3 linked regions of the Elephas maximus indicus genome follow. The protein of the gene in region 2 purifies or fractionates together with the protein of the main gene of each other region. This does not show direct contact. Links are inferred from orthologs where the notes say so. Each region holds a gene or a part of one and is shown on either strand. Other genes may lie near its edges.

What was found. The genes of interacting proteins can lie anywhere in the genome.
Region 1: the proteins of TGFBR1 (region 2) and MAP3K7 purify together in Homo sapiens (affinity purification with western blotting; 3 studies listed by BioGRID). This does not show direct contact. The link is inferred for Elephas maximus indicus from reciprocal best matches to the Homo sapiens genes TGFBR1 and MAP3K7.
Region 3: the proteins of TGFBR1 (region 2) and SMURF1 purify together in Homo sapiens (affinity purification with western blotting; 3 studies listed by BioGRID). This does not show direct contact. The link is inferred for Elephas maximus indicus from reciprocal best matches to the Homo sapiens genes TGFBR1 and SMURF1.

The regions. Positions count from the first base shown.
Region 1 is NC_064819.1:154,409,990-154,417,779, forward strand, and holds the start of MAP3K7 (mitogen-activated protein kinase kinase kinase 7), read right to left. Parts: upstream 3,019-7,790; 5' UTR 2,802-3,018; coding exon 2,682-2,801; exon of another isoform or gene 2,400-2,681; intron 1-2,399. UniProt on the Homo sapiens protein: Serine/threonine kinase which acts as an essential component of the MAP kinase signal transduction pathway. Plays an important role in the cascades of cellular responses evoked by changes in the environment.
Region 2 is NC_064827.1:48,995,726-49,002,628, forward strand, and holds the start of TGFBR1 (TGF-beta receptor type-1), read left to right. Parts: upstream 1-3,900; 5' UTR 3,901-3,988; coding exon 3,989-4,073; intron 4,074-6,903. UniProt on the Homo sapiens protein: Transmembrane serine/threonine kinase forming with the TGF-beta type II serine/threonine kinase receptor, TGFBR2, the non-promiscuous receptor for the TGF-beta cytokines TGFB1, TGFB2 and TGFB3.
Region 3 is NC_064830.1:102,570,365-102,577,329, reverse strand, and holds the start of SMURF1 (E3 ubiquitin-protein ligase SMURF1), read left to right. Parts: upstream 1-3,947; 5' UTR 3,948-4,276; coding exon 4,277-4,331; intron 4,332-6,965. UniProt on the Homo sapiens protein: E3 ubiquitin-protein ligase that acts as a negative regulator of BMP signaling pathway. Mediates ubiquitination and degradation of SMAD1 and SMAD5, 2 receptor-regulated SMADs specific for the BMP pathway.

The DNA.
Region 1 (7,790 bases), on a different chromosome or scaffold from region 2:
AATACTTTTCCCTACACCACACGGCCTTTACTTCTTGCAACCTGGTCCACAATGTACATCCCTCACAATTTATTCTAACATTTTCTACACCCAGATCCAGAATGATAAAAACTAAATCACTAAAAAAAGGTAGATTTCTAAGGCTGAGAATGTACATAATGTGACAACAGAACTGCATTTAAGAAATGCCGAACTGAAATTTCTGAGTCACAACATTAGGAATCTAAGGATTAAAATTAGCTGATGCCTTAGAAATATGCATCTACTAAATGGCTGCATACCTGGTCTATGGTTCGAGTTATTTTTTATGTACTTTCTAGTTCTGGTCATATAATGCTGATTCAATTACACTGTTATCTGAGAAATACAGGATATGATTTTCTTTAAATGGGAATAAAATACTTTTTGTTTCTGATCATCCTCTATTATAATGATTTTAATCTAGAAATGGAATCTAAATTCAGAAATAGTTATTGAGCACCTAAGGTGCACCCTGGATTATATCAAACACTTTTAATGTGTGCAAATGAAGAATATGATGGAACTTATGTAATGGCCTCAACATAAGAAAGGTCCTAATTCAATCTTTCATATGAAAACAAACTGGGTATTAAAAAATCAAAACTAAACGACCGCCTAATGTTAGAAAGAACTTTTTATCAAAAAGCAAAAGTCTACGCCCCAGGATATCCTAAATACACCAAAGGAAGGCTGAAGCACTATCTAAATTGAAGGAAAGGTTTTGGAAACATAAACACCTAATCAGAAGTGAAATGGCTTTGGGGGAAGAGCAGCAAAATGAAAAATGTCTCAGTAACTTCCTTTCTTCCATAAAGCAAGAAGACAAAAAGCTTTACAAAGTAATGTGCAAAAACTAAGTTTGCTGTCGAAATCAAATGAAAATAAGCCTCTGAAAGAATCTGGTAGACCATAAAGTACAAGTTATTATTACATAACAATTTGTAGTCTACAAGCATAGCCAATTTACCGCAGAGTAGACAGAGTAGACGTAAATGCTTATTTAAAAACTGCAATTCTTGTATACTGACTCACTGAATTTTTATTCTTAAAAAAGAATGTTAGCCATGAAAGCTGGATCAACTATCCACTTCTGGAAAAGGAATTTATCATAGCCTCAATCGGAAAAAAAAAAAAAAAAAGCACACACACAAAATTCTCCTCTCTTTTCAAAACACAGATCTTCTTTTAGCCCTGTGACCTTAAGGCAGGTCACTATTCCTCTCTGGAACTCAGTTTCCTAGTAATACGTGTCAGGCCTCGTGTTGGGTGTTTCACATACACTGCCTAATAAGACTGTTATACAGATAAAATTAAATAGAAATTATTATCCTTGTTTTACAGTTAAGAAAACTAAAGTTCAAAGGGGTTAGTTAGGAAATGTGCCCTAAACCACATAGCTAACGTGGCACATCTCACATACTGAACTTTCCTCTTAAGTCAAAAGATCCTGTTTTTCCCATTGTGCTACCTTGTAAAAAAAAAAAAAAATGAAGGTTGTTCTTAATGATCTCTAGGTTGTTTCAAGTAATAAAAATGTATGATTTAGTAATTCATTATTCTTCCAAAACATGAATAGGGAAAAGATATATTTATTTGGTGAACATTAATTATCTCACTAATTTTAGCTTGCTGTAACCTAAAAGTAATTTTAGATTTTTACAGTAGAGATAACGCTGAGATTTCATAACATGTCCACAGGACATGCTGAGTTCTTTATAGTATAAAAAAAAATAAAATAAAAATAAAATCACTACATTTTTAAAAGGATAAATAAATGGTAACTATTTGATACATCCCATTTTCAACCAGTTTTTAAAAACACATTCTAAAGTGTCTTTAAAATATATACACACACTTTTACTTTCCTAAATTTCACAGTCCTTATTACCAATCGCCCCTCTATGAATGTGAACAGAAGTAACGTACTAAAGGCACACTAAAATATCTCGCTCTAAAATATCTTAAATTATTGAAGAATACAGAATGGATTCAGGTCTTCTAACAGCAATTTCTAATCTGGTGATATATTCTAGCTGTCGCCGAGATCATGAGTTCTCTCTCCAGAACATGCTACTTAAAACATCTTTTCATTATAACAGACCAGCGTACATTACTAATGGCGAATTCATCTAAATTACCCAACTGAAGGCAGAACATTTAATATTACGAGTACTGCTCTATGATATCAGCGAAACAGAATCATTCGGTACCTGCGGAAACACTTTGACTTCATCTACTACTTTAATAAGCATTTATTGAGCGCCCACTATGTGCCAGGCACTGAGCTGTAAATCGAATATAGTATAATCCTTGGCCTTTAAAAACACAACATGTAGAGAATTGAAACGGCCACGGTCTTTGCTGAATTTACTACTTACAGAAATGAGAACTGGTGGACCACACTTTCTCACCAGCTCATCCTCCTATTTGAAGTGACCCAAATCCAGACACCGGAGTATCAAATCCAAACTCGAGTGTCGAAGTGAGGAAAAAAGAGAGCTACCTCAGAGCAGCTGAGCGCGAAGAGTCCCCCCACACCCAGTCTCCGAGGGGTTGTGGGGAATCTCGGCTCGACCCCGCCGGGGAGGCGCCTTCAGAGCCAGGATCCGGCAGAAGCGGGGGCGAGCCGGAGACGGCGCTCTGTGCCGGGCCTCGCTCACCTCTTCCACCTCGATCTCCTTGTAGTCGATCTCTTCAAAATTGAGGACCTGGGAGGGGGCTTCGATCATCTCACCGGCCGAAGACGAGGAGGAGGAGGAGGCGGCAGAGGCTGTAGACATGATCCCTCGCCGCGCCCGAGGGGCCCGGAGAGTCTGCCACCCAGACACTCCGGGGCAGACCCGCGCCCACCCGCCTCCGGACCGACCTTCAGTCTGGAGCCGCACAGCCCGGCCAGCCGGCGATCCGTGGCGGGGGCAGGAACAGCGGCCACAGCCGTGTCCCGGCTCCGGCTCCGCTGCGTTTTCCGCCGCCGGGCCCCGCCCACCTGACTTCCGGTTCCGGTCTAAAATCGGAAACAGGAGGGGGGCAGCAGGTTCGTGGGAGGGGAGGGGAGAATTTCGTGACGGGGAAAGAGAAAGGAAGGGCAGGCTGGGGTAGGGTGAAGGCGCAGGGGCGGGGGGCGGGCGGGTGAGAGCCTGTCTTGAACCTGTAAAACAAATTTCGCGAGATCTTTGCTAAAGAGGCTCAGGAGACGGATGTTACCGCGAGAGTTGATGCGCTGACATAATTAAAATGCGCGAGCGGAAGTGACACAAGCCTGATGGCCAATGAGTGCCGTTGGTCTTTTAGGAACCAGCGGGAAAGATAAAAACTATGGTTCCCACTGTTTGTGAGTTGCGTCATGGCTCCACTCCATCTTCTTTTAGCGGCCTGCAGACGGGCAGAGCAGTATAGGACCGAGTTTTTACGACAAAGCCCACTTTTCGTTTTAAACCGAAGCTAAACTAAACTGTATCTTTAAGAAGCCTCGCAAAACGTGTTTTCCTCAACGTGGAGGGAGCGGTTGGCTATTATTTAAACCAGTCCCTGATACCAAGAGAGAGTCTGAAGAAGTTAATAGTACAGAGCTGGTCAGCGTATTCAACATAAGTAACGCTCTGGAGGCTGAGTGCTCACGAAAAGAAGATGACATATTGGTATAACAAAGTTAACACATTTAGATAAGGTAGATATTTATAATTTGGCATAATTTGACATGTTCATCTCGCGTTTTAGATTGTATTAATAGCATTTATCGAGTGCAGAGCACTATGTTAGATTCATTATATTTATAATTTTATCGTTACAATGGCCATGACAAGTTAAATATTTTTTCATCATTTACAGGACATGAGAAAATAAATTCAGAGAGATTAAAAGAATTTCTGATCCAAAACCTATGCAATCTGTCTCTAAGGCAAATGGTATTGTCTACGTTGTGCTAAAACTCGAATAGCATTGTCTATGTTGGGTTAAAACCCATTGCTGTCCAATGGATTCCAACTCATAGTGACCTAATAGGACAGACTAGAACTGCCCCATAGGATTTCCAAGGCTATAAATCTTTATGGAAGCAGACTGCCATGCAGCTAGTGAGTTTGAACCACCACCATTTCAGCAGCCAGGTGCCTAACTACTGTGTCACCAGCGTACTTTACGTTGTGTTACCAAAAAATATTAAACTAAGCTGTTAAAACTTTATTACTTTGACTTGAAGCCTAAGTGTGGAATTTTGGAGTTAGAGACTTAAAAATGATAATTATATATGGTGGTTGGAGCAGTGGGTTTGGATGAACTTACCTAGGAACAGGTCTCTGGGTGGGATAAATCTGTGTTTGACTATTAACCAAAGGGTTGGTGCGTGGAACCCACGCAGCAGTGCCAGGGAAGAAAAGCCTAGTGATCTGCTTTCCTGTGATTAAAAAAATAAGCAACTGTTGCCATTGAGTCAATTCCAGCTCATGTGACCACATGCCCCTGGGTGGTACAAATGGTTTATGCTGAACTACTAAACGCAGGCAGTTCAAACTCACTCAGTAGTACCGCAGTAGAAAGGCCTGGTGGTATGGTTCTGTCAAGATTACAGCCAAGAAAACCTTATGGAACTGTTCTTCCCTGTAACGTGGGCGAGCCATGAGTCGGAATGAAGGCAACGGGCTTGGTTTTTCTTTTTTTCTTTCACCTAGGAGCACTGTGTTAAAAAAAAAAAACCAAGACGGAACCCTGTGAATGTCAAATTCTAAGCCTCAGAAACAGAAAAGGAATGGTTTGAAAAAGCAAAATGACTGGAGTGGTGACCTGGATGGCATAGGAGGAGAGCTGTTCAATTAAGGAGTAGTAAACCAAATAAATGCTGTAAGTAAAAAAAAAAAAAAAACCAAACCCATTGCCTTCAAGTCAATTCCAACTCATAGTGACCCTATAGGACAGAGAACAACCCCATAGAGTTCCCAAGGAGTGCCTGGTGGATTCGAACTGCTGCCCTTTTGATTAGCAGGCATAACTCTTAACCAAGGTGCCACCAGAGCCTTAGTTGTAAGCAAATAAGTAAGTTAAGCACATTTCTGATTATAAATAGGTGATTGGATTTAGCAATCAGGAAGCTATGAACTAGAAAGCATTCTGTCATTTCCAATTTGTAGTTCTAGTGACACTTAATGATAGTTTGGTGAATGGATAAAAGGATGAAAGAAGAAATAATTTCTTCTCAGTGTATATACTCTCTGGATGATCTTACCCAGGGTCTTGGTTTCTCATACCATTTTTGTAATGACTTTCATTACCTAGCTCAGATTTTTTTCTGAATTCTGAACCTGTTGGATATTTTTATTTAGGTGCAACAAACACCTTAATTTCAAGATGGCAAAGCTAATTCAGAATCCATCCGCCAATACAGATATGTTCTTCCGATGCATTTCCTGTCTCAGTTAAGGATCCCGTTACCCACTCAGTTGTCCAAGTGAGAAATCAGGATGTTATTTCTACATATGAAATGATGCTCCAAAACAACAACAACAAAACCAAACCTACCCCATTGCCATCCGGTCAATTCCAACTCATAGCAACTCTATAGAATAGAGTAGGACTGCCCCATAGAGTTTCCAAGGCTGTAACCTTTATAGGAGCAGATTGCTAGGTCTTTGTCCCGAGTAGCAACTGGTGGATTCAAATACCCCAAATACCCGACCTTTCAGTTAGCAGCTGAGCACTTACCCATTGCACACCAGGGCTGCTGAAATGATGCTCAGTATACTAATGATCAAATAGAAGCAGATAAATCGATGGAATAATCTGTCTTGAAAAAATTATGTTACAGGAGACAGGAGTGAAAGGAAACAGGCACATCCTTCACTTTTGTTGAGAAAAAGGCAAAGATTGTTTCTATTGTTTATAACAGGCAGAAAGTAGAATCAAGTCCTCAATCAACAGAGGATTATATGTAGACTAGTACTTCTCTTGACTGCTTTGAGTCAGTTTTTCATATATCAGCCAAAATCATGTTTTAAAGTCTCCAGCATGATCATATCACTCTCCTGCTTAAAACTCTGTGACATTTTGTGCCTGGAATTTACGGTGCAATGAATTACTTAATATGGCCCTTCTAGCCTTGGCCTTTGTGACTCACACACAATTATTGAATGGGACTATGCAAATAAGGTGTATGGAACCTGTGACGGTTAGGGTTATGTGTTGACTTGTCTGGGCCATGGTTCCTGGTATTGTGTGGTTGTCCTCCATTTTATGTGTTGTGGATCCTGACCTCTACATGTTAATAAGGCAGAGTTGGTGGAAGGTGTGTCTTGGGTCACAATCTTGTGACTCAAGTCCCACCCTTACTAAAGTTACACCCTTTCCTGGGGTGTGGACTGCATCTGAGACCTATGTGTGTGTCCTTGTGAGGCTCTCTTTCTCCCTGCATCTGGATCCCCTGTCTAGTTTGTGATCAGCTGACCTCCCCAGAAGCCTGCTGTATGACCTACCAATTCTGGGATTCGAAGGCCTCCCCAGCCACTTGGGCCAGCGGCCTATTGTACAACATGATTCACCACCTTTTGCAACCTTGTGAGCCAACAGCCTGTGGTCTGAACTGCCAATTTGGGTTCATCAGCTCCTGCAGCCACGTGGGTCAGGAGAAGCCTATGCCTGACCCACAATTTGGGACTTGCCAGCCTCCACAACTTCATGAGCCATTTCCTTTATATGGTTGGGGAGTTCTGTGAGGCATTGCAGTGAATTAGGGACCCCAAAGATGGGAGGGAGAGTACTGAGGGGAGAGGGAGTAGTTGATGTTAGAGATGATGGAGTGGTATAGCAGCTTGGAAAAGTTGGACATTTGGGACATCTTTAACCTCCACCTCATAGTTACCAGCTTTGTACTAATTGTTATAAAAGAAATTATTTGTTTAGAGTTGAAAAAATACTCAGCTCCTGCCTGCCTCTCCCTGGCATGTTAAGGTCCAGTCACACAGGCTTCTTTTCAGTTTCTAGAATAAGCCAAACTCTTTACCACCTCTGGACTTTTGCAACACTATTTCTTCTGCCTGGAATACTTTCCTATCCTGCTTTTGGAGTACCTGGATCCTTATCATTTTTCAGGCTTTACATTAAAATTCACCTCTTAGGCCTTCTCTGACTATTCCAGATACTTTGATTATTTTTGTTCATTTCCTTCATAGCATATATCACAATTTGTAATTTGTTTTCTTTACATATTTATTGTCTGAATCATTATTAACCTGTGTATACCTTCATAACCACTTAATAAATATTTATTGAATGAACAAATGCAATAAAAATCTATGCAGCTACTAAAATAATGCGTTAGCTCTATATGTACAGATATGGAAAGAAAAAATACTATTTTCAAATTAAATAAAATTTTAAAAACAGCATGTAGAGTAGGATCCTATTTCATTATACATATACAACTTATATATGCATGGTAGAAAGTCTGTTGTTGTTGTTGTTAGGTGCCATTGAGTCAGTTCCGATTCATAATGACCCTATATACAACAGAACGAAACACTGCCCGGTCCTGTACCATCCTCACAATTGTTATTATGCTCGAGCCCCACTCTGTCAGTCCGTCTCCTTGACGGTCTCCATCTTTTTTGCTGACCGTCTACTTTACCAAGCATGCTGTCCTTCTCCAGGGACTAATCCCTCCTGATAACATGTACAGAGTATGTGAGATGTAGTCTCACCATTCTTGCTTCTAAGGAGCATTCTGGTTGTACTTCTTGTAAGACAGATTGGTTCATTCTTTTGGCAGTCCATGGTATATTCAA
Region 2 (6,903 bases):
TTTCTTCATTCTCCCTTGCTCCAGATGGGGAGGGACCAGTGCAGTTATCTTAGATGGCCACTCACAAGCTTTTAAGACCCCAAATGCTACTCGCTGAAGTAGGATGTAGAACATTTTCTTTATAAACTGCATTATGCCAATTGAGCTAGATGTCCCCTGAGACCACGGTCCCCAGCCCTCAGCCCAGTAATTCAGTCCCTCAGGGATAAAACTCCTGTTCTTGGGAAAACAATGTTAAGAAAATAACAGACTGAGCAAAAACATTTGCAATACATATATCCAGCAAAAGACTCATATACGGGTTATATAGATATATATTAGGAAATCCTGGTGGCATAGTGGTTAAGTGCTATGGCTGATAACCAAAGGGTCGGCATTTCGAATCCACCAGGTGCTCCTTGGAAACTCTATGGGGCAGTTCTACTCTGTCCTATAGGGTCGCTATGAGTTGGAATCGACTTGACGGTACTGGGGTGGGTTTGGGTTATAGATATATATTACAAATCGTTAATAAAAAGACTTGGGCAAAAGACTTGGACAGATACTTAAAAAAAAGTTGATGTCCACAAGGACCCATTATCTCTCCATCTTTCTTTTCTACCTTCCATCTCCATTTATGGCCATCATCCTTATGTTCACAAGATGGCTACTGTAACTCCAGGCATTAAAACTGTGTCGCAGGCAGAAATAGGAAGGAAAGAATGTGATGAATCTGTCTCTTTATGAGAAAAACCACATCTTTCCCACAAGCTCCACTTGACAGATTTTGTTTATATTTCTCTGACTACAACTCAGTCACATGGCCATACCTAGCTGCAAGGAAGCCTGGAAAATTGAGGTTTTTTTTTTTTTTTTTTTTTAGCTAGGTGGATTTCTTTAGCAAAGTAAATCAGGGTTCTGTTATAAAGCATATGGGGAAATGGACGTAAGTTAGGCAACTAGGAGTCTCCGTGCTCTATACGGGGGTAAATATGAAAACAGAAGGAAAAGCAAACACAATGTACTCAGCATAAAGAATGAGAAGTAGTATTGTGCAGGGAACAAAGCACTGCAGTGAGTCTCCTAGTCCTGGCTCTGCACCAGACTTGCTGGGGAACTGGTTTTCGGGTTCTTCCCCTGTAAGTTAGACATTGGAGTAGATAACCTACAAGCCTATAGAACCTATTATGGGAATTAGGTTTTATGATAAATTGCTTATGTTCAAGAGCTCATTTAGATATCATAACAAATATATGAGTAGGAACAATATGTGAATATTATTCCATTTTGCACTGGAGCTTGCTAAATCTCAGAGCATCTACATTGGTGCACAGATCTAGTAAGTGGCAGAGCCAGAATTCCAACTAAAGTCTGCAGGCCCCCAAAGTCAAAGGCTTCTTTCCACTGTTCATCTTTTCTCCAAAGGTGGAACAAGCTCATTCATTTTAATTTACTGAATTTTAAGGTTATACTTTCTAAACCACTTTCAAAATGTAGCATGGCAGCCACCTGCAGCAGAATTACCTGGGGTGCTTTTTGCAAATGCAAATTTATGGGCCCCCTCTAAGTCAACTGAAGCCAGACTCTGGGGGCTAGACCCCTGGGATCTTCATTTTTAAAAGCTTCCCAGGTAATCTGGAGACACTTTAAGGTCTCACAACCACCATTTTAAAGTTACAATTTATTGGTCTATTCCAATGTAGTTTATTTGTGGATCCGTGGCTCATGGAAATTTCCTCCAAATATCAGGAAAATAAAATTTAAAAATACTCTGTTCCTCCTTCCTCTTCCTCAGTTTTCTATTGAACGCAGTCAGTTCCATGGAAAATGTTAAGGAACTGGAGGTGTGTCATGGAAGATATCTTAACATGGATTGACTGAGGCTCTGTAAAGCAAAGGCACAGATTAATATGAACATAAATGTTGGATAGAATCATACAGAGCTGGAAGGGGGATATGCAAAGGAAATGGCATTAACTAAATATTTACTATGTTCCAGACACTGTTCCAGACACAGCGCATCATTTAGGGAATCCAAGACATATGATTCAATCCCTTTTTATTTACAAATGGGGTAGGCATTACAGCACGGTTATCTCTACTTTACAGAGGAGGAACCTAAAGTTCAGAGAACAGTCACTTTTCAAAGGCGAATCGTTCGTTCGTTTGTACAATAAATATCTCTTGAGAGCTCTTATTTTATGCAAGACATTGAGAATAAAGCATCGAAAAGACAGTCCAGAGACCTTGTGTGTCACGGGGCCCTGGTTTACCCAAGTTTCCATTGAGGACTGAGAGAGCAGACTGGGGCTGGAGCCTGCCAACAGCAGCATCTCTGCCTGCCAGCAGCCAGGAGGAGTAGAGCTTGTGGCTGGTGGTCCAGAGCTCCACCGGGAAGTTTCCACGGCTCAGTGAATACCATGCCTTTACCTTTCTGGGCGGTGGGGAGTAGGCAGGGGCCTGAAGGGAGTACTTTGAAATGGAACTTAAAAGGGGCTAAGGGAACCCCAAAATCTCATCATAGTCTTTCAGTAACCTTGGGAGGCAGATATTATTTCCGATTTATAGAAGAAGAAGCTGAGGCTCAGAAAGGCTAAGTGTTCTCATCAGGAGTGACTAGAGCAGGTCTCAGATTCTAGTCCAATGCCCCCAGCCCTCGCACTTGACAGCTCACTGAAAAAAAAAGTCTAAATAGGTGGGTAAAAGGCTCAGCCAATAGCGCTAAAGTAGTTTACTTGAGGTTGGGTATGAGTCTTTCAACCAACATTTATTTAATTCCAAGTTCAAATCACACAGAAAATAGAACTGTTTTCTCCTTAAAAGGTTCTGCGGAAGAATGTTCTCTGTTCTATGTAACAGCCTCCTTGGCTGTGTTTGTGTCTGAAGAAAGGATCAGTCTGACAGGAAGAATTATAAATCTGGAGCTCATTTCGGTGTCCCAGCGGGAAGGTGGGTGGAGCGCCTCACAGTAAATTAGGAATTCAGAATGAAAACGTAGTTGAGTTTATCTGGGTTTTCAGTGACACCTCAGAATTATTGTATGGGCGTGTCAGACAGCTCAAGGTAATGCCTGCTTCTCCTACGCCCCGTGGGAGCGGGTGCTGAGAAGGGGAATCCTCCTCCTTTGGTGGGGTGGGGGCTTCCCTTTCCAACCTGGATCAGGAAGGGAGAACGGGGAAGACGAATAGTTTGAAGGCCTGAGTCTTCTCTGAGTTCTGGAGGGAGGCTATTGGGGGGTGTGTCTGAGCTCAGGATCTGGGTCCGAGGCTGGGCTCTGAGACTAGGATTTGGGAATTTTCTGAGCCTGGAACTTGGGCTAGAGCAGGAGTAAACAGGAGACTGAGTCGTAAAGGAAGGGCACCGAGAAAGGGTTTTGAGGGGGCAGATGTTGAAAGTTGAAGCGCGGACCTGGGGACGGAGAGTTGAAGCCTGAGGACACTGCGGATCTGGGCAGAATGTGTTGGGGTTGGGGTGGAGGTCAGTGCCAGGTCGTTGGTGTCTAGAGGAAGCTAAAAGACAGTCGAGGGGCCACAGCCTTTTTCCGACGACTCACAGACAGACCCGTCTCTCAGCCTTCGCCCATCCGGGACAAGAGACGCCCTCGCACCGGGGCTGGCGAGACCCTGCCCCCACCCGGCCGCCTCCGAGCCCGGAGCAGCGCGGGCTGGGCTTGGGGTCTGGGCGCCCTGCGCAGGGGGAGTGCTGGGGGCGTGGTCGGCGGCCGTGCCCCGCAGCTCGGGATTGGCTGCCACTTGGGCCCGTGGGCGGGGCTCCCGGCTGGGTTTCGCTGGGCGGTTCGCAGACGGCGGAGAGGCGGGGCCGGCGGGAGCCTGGCAGCCAATGGACTCGCGGCTCCGGAGCAGTTACAAAGGGCTGAAGCGAGGCCGCGGCGGTGGCGGCGGCGGCGGCAGCGGCGGCGGCGGCAGGGGAGGTGGGGCGAGGCGAGGCTTGCTGAGGCGAGGCGGCGGCCGGGCCGGGCCGGGCCACAGGCGGCGGCGGCGGCGGGACCATGGAGGCAGCGGCTGCTGCTCCGCGTCCCGGGCTGCTCCTCCTCGTGCTAGCTGCGGCGGCGACGCTGGTCCCAGGGACGACGGGTGAGTGGCGGCGCGGCCGGGTTGGCGGGCGGCTGGCGGGCGCGCAGGCAGGGCCCGGCCTCTGGCTCGCTCCTTCTCTTTCTCAAACATGGCGCGGGCCGGGGGCGCAGGTGGCGGCGCCGGGGCCGGGACTTGGGCGCGTGTTGGGCTCCCTGGCCCGGCGCGGCCAGGCCCCCGCCACGGAACCGCAGGCGCGGTGGGGAGGCTGGACGGGGGCGTGTGTCCGAGCGCGGGTGGACGCCCGGCAGCCCGAGGCCGCCCCACTTGGCGCTCCCCCGGAGAGGTGGCGTCGGGCGGAGCCGTCCGAGGCCGGGGGCTGCGCTCTGGGGTGTGAGTGAGTGAGGGCCCAGGACTGAGGGTGCGAGGGTGGCCCGGGCGAGCAGAGCAGGGCCTTCCGCTGACCTCCGCCGAGGGAACTGTGAAGCCTTGTCCCTGGTATCCCCACCCCAAGCGAGTCGGTGCCTGAGGCCCCAGGGGTCCGGGGCGGGGTTGGGGTCCAAAGAAGCTTCCCAGGCAGAGTGTGAGCTCTGAGCCTTCAGGCTTCCCCGGGCGGTGAGAGGGGGCTACCTGTGGCTGAGACCCCCGGGTCATTAGGGTTGCCCCCAGCTTTGGCCCCGGCCCGGTCCTGCTCAGAGAGGCTGCTTCCACAGCCTGGGGTGCCTTTGGCGAGGGAGCTGCGAAGCTTTGTGTGGAAGGAGGCGGACGAAGATGTGCGGAATGTTTCTTCTTTCGTGCGTCTGGAAAGTGTTGAAGCGAATCCAGTAACCAGACGGCTACGGATTGTTTTCATAGTAAAAAATGGAACGTTTGCTCACTCTGCGGGGTTTGGAATGTTTGAATGAGAATTACTCTGTGAATTTATCAAAAGCTTTTATTTCCTCGAAGAAGAATGCTAGTGATCTTTCTTTTCCCCAGTGACAGTAGTTTGAATCAGTCATCTGCATAGCTGGTTTTCAAGGGAAAATGCTTGCTTGGTTTTCCAAAATACTCAATCAGGATGGGGTAGGTGGTTATCTACCCAAATGGAGTACAGGGTGAAAAACTTCGTGTTACAAACCAAATGACAATACTAGAAGCTAAAATATGGACCTAGTTTTAGCAACTGAAATATAGTAAAAGTACATTCCTATTTCTGAAATCGGACACCCTGTATAAAAAACAAAAGACTCAACCCAAGGCTGAGGGTGTCAATTATTAGTCTGAATAGCTACTGTGTTTTAAGAGCTTACTATGATGTAGGTGCATAAAGTACACTAAAGTACTTCAGCTAATCCTCACAACTAAATCTTCAAGGCTAGTGGCATTTGCCCCCGTTTTATAGATGAGAAAACTGAGGCGAGAGGTTAAGTACTCATTTACTAAGTGCTACAGTTAGGATTTGCATCTTTGCATCCAGGGCTCTGTTTCCAAAGCCTGTACACCTTATATATGCCAGACTGTCTTACCCGGCCCATTTTTCTTGTTCAGTCATCTGATAGTGATTGATCTTTATTATTCACTTTTAGATTTTGGCTTCAAAATTTGAATACCAGGTTGCCTTCTTTCTAACTGCCAGCACATTCCTGAGTCCCTTCACACTGAAACTACAAGAAAAAACAATGGATTTTTGATACTGGCCTCGGGGAGAGGAGATAATTGTGTGGACCTGTGGTAGAATCAGCATAGTTATACATCAAACAGAAATGACATTTCCACATCACTATTAACTTGAATAACGTAATTCACTCTTTTCCAGTTATTGTAGGACAGAATATTCATGTATTCAGGTAACAGTATTAGACTTAATTGGCTGTACAGAACATTGCTCAACCCAAGCCCTGAAGGAGTTTACAGAATACATTGGCATGCATACGATAGAAAGCTGATCCAGATGCTTATTACTCCAAGCCCAGACTACGTCAACTAGTCTGCCTGCCCTGATTGCTCATATTGATGTTTCAGTTCATCCTTTTTGTACATACGGAAGAAGCTAAGCTCAGAAGCTTTTTTTTCTTTATAATTGCCTTCCTTATTCAAGAACTTGTAGTTCTTTATCGGCTGGCTGTTAATTTTATATTTCTCTGCCTGGCTTCTGCTTTCTACAGCATAGATTTCTCTAGGGAAAATGGTTTCCTATCCCTAGTGCAGAGTTTCATACCACTATGTTTACATATATATCCCATTTGAGAATGCAGGTTCTTTTCTGCCATTTCATAACTTTTTTTTCTTTGAAAACATGCCTAAAACCCAACTCTTTTTTTTTATTAATGCCTCTTAAGTATGCCTCTTTGTATGCAGCCAGCTGCCCGTTATCCCTCGAATCTAGTTGCTTTCCATTGTTTCTCTCATCTGGTCTTTTCTACAGGCTGCTGCCAAACTAATCTTCCTCAGTGATCCCCAGGAAGGGTTTACAAGACTTCCTATTTGTATTCAGCCATTAGAGCATATACTTGAGACCCATGATTAGAACCATCTCTGAGTATCAGACCAGAGAATCTCACCCTTTCACTAGTGCAAACCCTCAGTTCCAGCGATTTCTCTTTTCCCCCTGACTCCTGACTGCTCAGTCTTTCCACTGCATAATTAATTTTGTCCCCTTTTGGGGGTGGAGCCCTGGTGGGCAGTGGTTAAAAGCTCAGCTGCTCACCAGAAAGGTTGGCAGTTCTGATTGGTTGGTACCCTAGCGATGCCAGTTGTTACATATTTTTACTGTCACCCATAGAGGCTTCAGTATTCAAAGAGGAAAATGATTAGTACAGACTGAAGTGATTGCGGAAGGCTTCCTGGACACTTTAGGACTTAAGCTGTTTTTGAAGGGTGGCTAGAATTCAGATGGGCAGAGACAGGGATT
Region 3 (6,965 bases), on a different chromosome or scaffold from region 2:
GATAGTTTTCATTTCTAACCGTTCCCAGGTGCTGCTGCTGCTCTGGCGACCCCACTTTTGAAAACCATTGGTCTAGAATAGACTCGATCTCCGTCCAACCCTGTCCAAAGACTAGTACGATATTTAGCCAATAAACAATGATTCGGGGTCTTACGTGGGACTTCCTCTGGGTTGATTTCCCTGGTTACTGTTGCTTACATGTTATAGGTGAGTTACGACGAATTTGGAGAATTTTTATTTGTCTTATTTTCCCAAACATATTTCTCCAAGGTAGTAGTAGCACTAATAGGTTTTGGAGTGAAGATGAGCCTGCACATTTTACTCATAAGAACTACTGTTTATTGAGTCCCTCCTATATTAACTGCTACTTCTACATCCATGATTTAATTTAAACCCCACAATAACTTTGCATGAGAGGCATTAGCCCCATTTTGGAGATAAGCAAAATGAGGTTTGGAGAATTTAATTACCTTCCTCTATCACCAGCTGGGGAAACCCTGGTGGTGTAGTAGTTAAGAGCTATGGCTGCTAACCAAAAGATTGGCAGTTCGAATCCACCAGGGTGCTCCTTGGAAACCCTTTGGGGCAGTTCTACCCTGTCCCATAGGGTCGCTATGAGTCGGAATCGACTCCATGGCACTGGGTGTGGTTTTGGTTTGGTTATCACCAGCTGGTAATGTGGTGGAGACAAGGTAGAGTGTGGGGCTGTGTGAGTCCACAGCTACTCTCTTTTTAGCACAAATTATGGCCTTCAAAAGGAGCAGTGACCGCACATGAGGTGCGCTGGCGGGGGATCTAACCTGGGTCTCCGTCAGGGAAGGTGAAACTCTACCACTGAACTACCACACCACCTCCCCCCAACACACACAGAAGGATATCCCCAAAGTTAACTGCTTGATCACTTTCTTTGGAATAGGGGTTCTTAATCTAGGGAGTATGGGCCATTATAGGATCCACGAATAGGTTTTTGGGGATAATGAACCCACTGAAGTTGGTAAAATTTGGTGTGTATGTGCACATATGGATTTTTCTGGGGAAAGGGTCCAGAGTTTCCATTAGATTCTCAAAGAGGTTTGGGACTCAAAACAGGTTAGAACTACTCAGTCAGAACAAAGAGAGATGCCCAATAACAGTGACACAAGGAAGTGGTACATACGGTGGAAATAGAATCAGTTGGCAAGCCTCCATAGAAGGCAGGGGCAAAACTGCTCTTTGTAAAGCCATTGCAAAGAGGACATTTGGAGGGACTCATTGAGTTTTTTTCAGCAGAACTGCTTGACATTTCATATCTATCTGGCCCAGAGATCTCTGGAAGGTAGTACTTCTGATGAAGGTTGATACATGGTGGAAGGACATCCAGGTAGTTCAATATGTGGGCTGGCCCAGCCGCAGAACGAAACAGCAGCTGATGATTTTTAAGTGGGCAAATAGCTTTTATCATTTTTATCAACTTTCAGTGGAGTAAAGTACGTGGGGAGAAGATATGGCAGCTATGCAGTCACACTGGCCTGGAAACACACTGGAAAATGCATTCACGGACACACCTCTGCACAAGTTGTTCAATCTGTCTGCATTTCCCTTCCTGCCTCTTTGCCCAGCAAACCTGAACCCTGCATTTAAGCTCCAGATCAAGGCCTGCTGTGACTCTTCTGAGACCTCCCCAGCCCTCTCCTCCTAGGCAGAATTGTCCTGCAACCCCTGGTCTAGCCCTCTGTACCCATCTCTGTCCCTCTACCATTGTTTCCCTGTCAACTGAGGCTCTGAAAAGCTAAAGTAGTAACCAGTGCTAGTTGCCGTCAAGTCGATTTTGACTCATGGTGACCCCATGTGTGTCAGAGTAGAACTGTGCGTCACAGGGATTTATTTTTTTGGAAGTAGATTGCCGAGACTTTCTTTCAAGGTACCTCTGGGTGGACTCAAACCAGCAGCCTTTCAGTTAAGCAGCCAAACAATGTTTGCACCATCCAGGGACTCCAAAATGCTAAAGCCATGACTTATTTTGTGTCCCTTGTCCCTAGCCACATAGTAGGTGGCCGATGTTGGCTGAGCAAACGCTAAATGTAGAAAGCATTAGCTACCATTCAGGTCCCCTCTGTACAGGCTGTGGTGAGATGACTATTTTGTGCATCTACTTAGATGACAACAGCAATTATGTGTTAATGAGTAAACAAGATGCCTCTTGGTAATCTCCAAAAGCAACCTCTTGACTCAAGGGTTGAAGAAATAAGCAAAGGAAGGCCCAGGCATCAAGGCAGGTGAGAACACAACGAGGTTAAGAAATGCCAGGTTTCTAGGGTGGAACAGCTGAGGCTTGGGACAGGGGCCAGTGCTCAGGTAAGCAGAGAGAGATGTTTGGTTTGGTTTGGGGAGAAGAGACTTCTTGAATTTGGGAATAAAGAGGAGAGAAGGGGGAATACTGACTGGACTGAAAGAAGAATGGCCATCACTTGGGGTGTCAGACAACACACTGAATGGATTTATTCAGGCCAAGGGACTCTCAGTCACAATTGCATAAAAAGAGAAACAGCTGGGTTCTGGGTCTACTCCTCTGTTGGTTAAACATAGCTTGTATTCTTGGATATTACACTAGAATCATTGCAAGTCTGAGCTGCAAGGGACCACAGAAATGATCTGAGCCCATCCTTTCATTTGATGCTTGAAGAAACTGAGGCCCCAAGAGGCAAAGCCTTGGGTCCAGCCTATGACAGACTGCTTTCACTGGGCTCAGCCAGAGGCAGGACGGCAGGGAACGTCCAGAGACTCTAGGCAGAGGGCTTTGTTCTGAAGACTGTGAGCTCAGGAAAGGCCCAAGGCCACAGGGAATGTGAGCAGTTGCCCAGACCCTGTCTGGCTTTTTAGAAAGAGTTGCCACTGAATGATTCATTGTGACCTCATATATGTCAAAGTAGAACTATGCTCCAAAGGGTTTTCAATGGCTAATTTTTCTGACATTGATTGCCAGGCCTTTCTTCCAAGGTGCCCGGTGGTCTGGAACCTTCATACGTTAGCAGCTGAGCCCATCACCCAGAGACACCATTTTTAGGACACAAACCAAATAAAGGCATTTAAAAGAATGAGGTATTTGGTCAATAACAAGTTTGATAAACCCACCTTTTCCTCTCGATTAACACGTTATTTCCTCTCCATATCGTATTAACAATAAGAGCCATTTGTTTGCTGGGAACGTCTAATGAGCCTTTAGCGAGCAGAAGGCGGGAAAACACGGCAGTAACTGCTAAACTGTATGCAGATTAGATATTAACCTCTTAACTTTATCCCTCTCTCAACTGTTGTTTACTTTGCCCACACAGGGCACTTCCTGCCATTCTGGCAACTTCCATACGGGGAAATCAGAGCGCAGGAGTTGCGGAGAACACACACCTAACGGACTTTGTCTCTGACAAGTCCCTCCCTTGAAACTGCATTATCGAAACACAAAATACGCTACTGAATGTCTGCTGGTGCAAGGTACTTAGTCTAGGAACAGGGCACCGACACAAAGGTTTCGTGTCGCCCGTCCTTCAACAGCTTATGAGGAGTCCCGGGCCTGGAGTCAGAGACCTGGGAAATCGGTTCCTTTCTCGGAACCTCACGTCCGCATTTGCACGTCGGCTCCCTGGGAACCGTCGCGGACACTGGAGGCGCCGGGGCGCGGGCAGCGCCGTCAGCCGCCTGTGGCGGACCCCGCGCGGTCCCCTCGCAGCCTCGCCGCCGAGGAAGGGGCGCGCCGGGTGCACCCCACGCCCAACGCCGCATCCCCTCCTGCAGGGCGCGGGCGAAGCCCCCAGGCCGGGCGCCAGGAGGCCGAGCTGCTGACGTAGGCGCGCGCCCCGCCCCGCCCCGGCGTGCCCCGCCCCGGCGTGCCCCGCGGGCGCGCGCACGCAAACGAGCGCGGGGGCGCACGGCCCGGGCGCGCGCAGGGCCGGGCCGGCACAGCGGCGAGAGCGCGCGCGGCTCCGGGAGGCGGCGGCGGCGGCGGAAGCGGCGAGGGCGGCGGGCGTCCGGCTCTGAGGTGGTGGCGGCAGTGGCGGCGGCGGCTCTGGACTGGGCTCGGCTAGGTGCGAGCGAGGGCCGGGGGGCGCTGGGGCGAGTGCCGATCCCCCGGCTCGACCATCCGCCTGCCGCCCGGACGCCTGGGCCGCGGAGTTTGTGTCCCGGCTCGGACCCCGGCGCCCAGCCCGGAGCCGTAACCTTGAGGCGGCGGCGGCGGGGCCGGACCGGTCCGGGCCGGGGGGCGGCGGCGCTGGATCCGCGGCCACCCGATCGCTGGCGGGAGATGTCGAATCCCGGGACGCGCAGGAATGGCTCCAGCATCAAGATCCGTCTGACAGGTACGGCCGGCGGGGGGCCCCCGCCGCCCCCAGCTCCCACTCAGACCCCGCGCCGCCCCTCACCAGCCCCGGCATTTCCCCCGTATCGCCCTTGGGATGTGTCCCTCCCCCAACCGGCCGTTGTCCCAGGACCTCCTCACCCCCCTCGGTGTGTGCCCCTTGTTGCTCCCGGCCCCGCCCCCTCGCTTCTGCCCAGGCCCCGCCCCCTCGCTTCTCTCCAGGCCCCGCCCCCTTGCCTTTCGCCCCCATCTTCCTACTTTCTTCCCTCCTCCCTCACACCTGCCTTCTTCCTTCTCCCTCCTGGCCCCACCCCCACGCTTCTCACCCCCACCTTCCAACTCTCTTCTCCCTCACACCTGCCTCCTTCCTTCTTCCTGGCCCCGCCCCTCGCCACCCTAACCCCGCCCCCTTACTTCCTTGCCTCTTAGCTCTCCCACTAAGGTCCCCTCACTTCCATCCTGGCCCCGCCCCTGCCTCTCCCTAACCACGCCCCCTTCTTCGCCTCCTAGCTCTTCTCCCACTATCGTCCCCTCGCTTCCATCCTGGCCCCGCCCTCGCCTCCCTAGCCCCGCCCCTTGCCTCTCCTTAACCCCGCCCCTTCCTTGCCTCCTAGCTCCTCTCCCACTGTCCTCCCCCACTTCCATCCTGGCCACGCCCCCTCGCTTCTCTCCTCTTGGCCCCGACCCCAGGCATCTCACCATTTCCCCCCAACTTTCCCCTCCTCTCCCCCCACCTGCCTCCTCTCATCTTTCTTCCTCACCCTCCTCACCCTCCCCTGGTTGCCCTCCCTCTTCCCCCACCTGTGCCTTCGCCTCTCCCCTACTGGCCCCGCCCCTTTTCTTGGCCACGCCCCTCGTTTTTCTCTAGCTCCTTCCTGGCTTATCTCCCATTCCTGCCCCCTTGCTGCTTTCTCCGGGGCCCCAACCCTTTCCTTGAGCTCGAGCTCCTGTTCTCCCGTCTAGCTTCTCCCAGTCCTCTTGCCTCACTTCTCCTTTGGTCCAGACCCCTTCAGTCTAGCCCACTTCCTTTTCCTCTCAGGCCAGACCACTCTCTGCCCTTGACGCTGCTGTTGCAGTTCGCGGCGTCTCTGTATTGCACTTGACCATCATCCTGCCACTCAACACTCTTGAGCCCCTCTTAGACACCCCCACCCCCGCACTGGAGGCTTTGGCAGCTGCAGAAACCAGGCTTCTTGATTCACTCTCAGTCTTCAGTGAAGAGTCCCTGTTTCCTTGGTGGCTCAGTGGTGCCACTTCAGGGGGGAGCGTGCCGCTCTGCTGTAGTTGGGATGTGTGCGAATGTGAACCTCCCTAGTGCGCTCCAGGGGTTCTGGACCAGTCTGCATCCTCGCCTGCCCTTTCTCCCTCCTCTTAGCTTGTTCCGGGTTCACCCTCTGCCCTTCCAGCTTAAATTCACGCCTAAGGCAGTTTCCTCCTGTTGCAAATGCGGTGTTGCTGGGGGACTTTCCAAACTCGAATATTTCCAGCTCTGGAAAGGAAAGAAAAAGTTTCATCTAATCCCTGTTACGGATTTTCCTCTCGATTTTTCCTTGTGCAGTTTCTGGCCTAGTGCGGATTCCGAAGCCAGTGTCTGCTCAGTTCCTTTCAAAGGAGAGAATGAGCGTTTTGAACACTTTATGGCAGAAACAGGAGCCCTGGTGGCACAGTGGTTAAGGGCTTGGCTGCTAATGGAAAGGTTGGGGGTTCCAAACCACCAGCTGCTCTACTTTATAAAAATGTGGCAGTCTGCTTCTCTAAAGATTGCAGCCTTGGAAACCCTATGGGGCAGTTCTGCTCTGGCCTGTAGGGTCACTATGAGTCGGAATCCACTGGACAGCAATGGGTTTTTTTTTTTTTTAGTTGCTCTGTGAGTGCCTTAACCAAAAAATAAAAATAAAAACACCAAAACCCACTGTAGTCAATTCGATTCTGACTCAACAGTTGGTGATTTTTTTTTTAAAACTAAAGATTCCCTCGAAACCCCATAGTTGTTGCATGATCCATTTTTTTGTGTCAAGGAAAGGGTTGTAATTATTTGTCCTTTTACAAGGATGTCAGATCAGGAATGACTTGGGCCCAAACCCAGACAGACCATGGTTTTGTAAGGTCACAGGTATATCCCATGGGTCTTTGCTTCTGGAGAGACGTTATCCTTTATACCAGGGCCCGGATATGAAAGACTTCTATGTGCATATATACATTAAACTATTTTTATGGCTACATAAAAGCCATGTTTTTGACATTGTAATACTTGTAAAACTTTAATTATTGACTGCTTTAATTTGGTTTGAATTTACAATATAATCTATAATTGATATTAGATCATTTTCTGTTTTCTTGCTAAAAGAGAAGTAACTGATTTTGTGAGTTTTGTAGAAATGCAACTCACGTTTTATAAGGAATAAGGTTTTAGTTACAAATGTATGTGTTAGATTCTAGGATATATATATCCTGGTTGGCAGGTCTGGGCCTAGTCCTTTTCCTTGTGAAAGAGAGGAAGATTGTTTTTGGATTCAGCAATCAAGATGTCATAGATACAGAAACGTTTCTGAGTTTTTGGATGACGTTGGATATTAAGGGATCAGGGATGATGAGTATTCTTTCTAAAGGACCTTTTCCCTTCCCCCCATCGTTA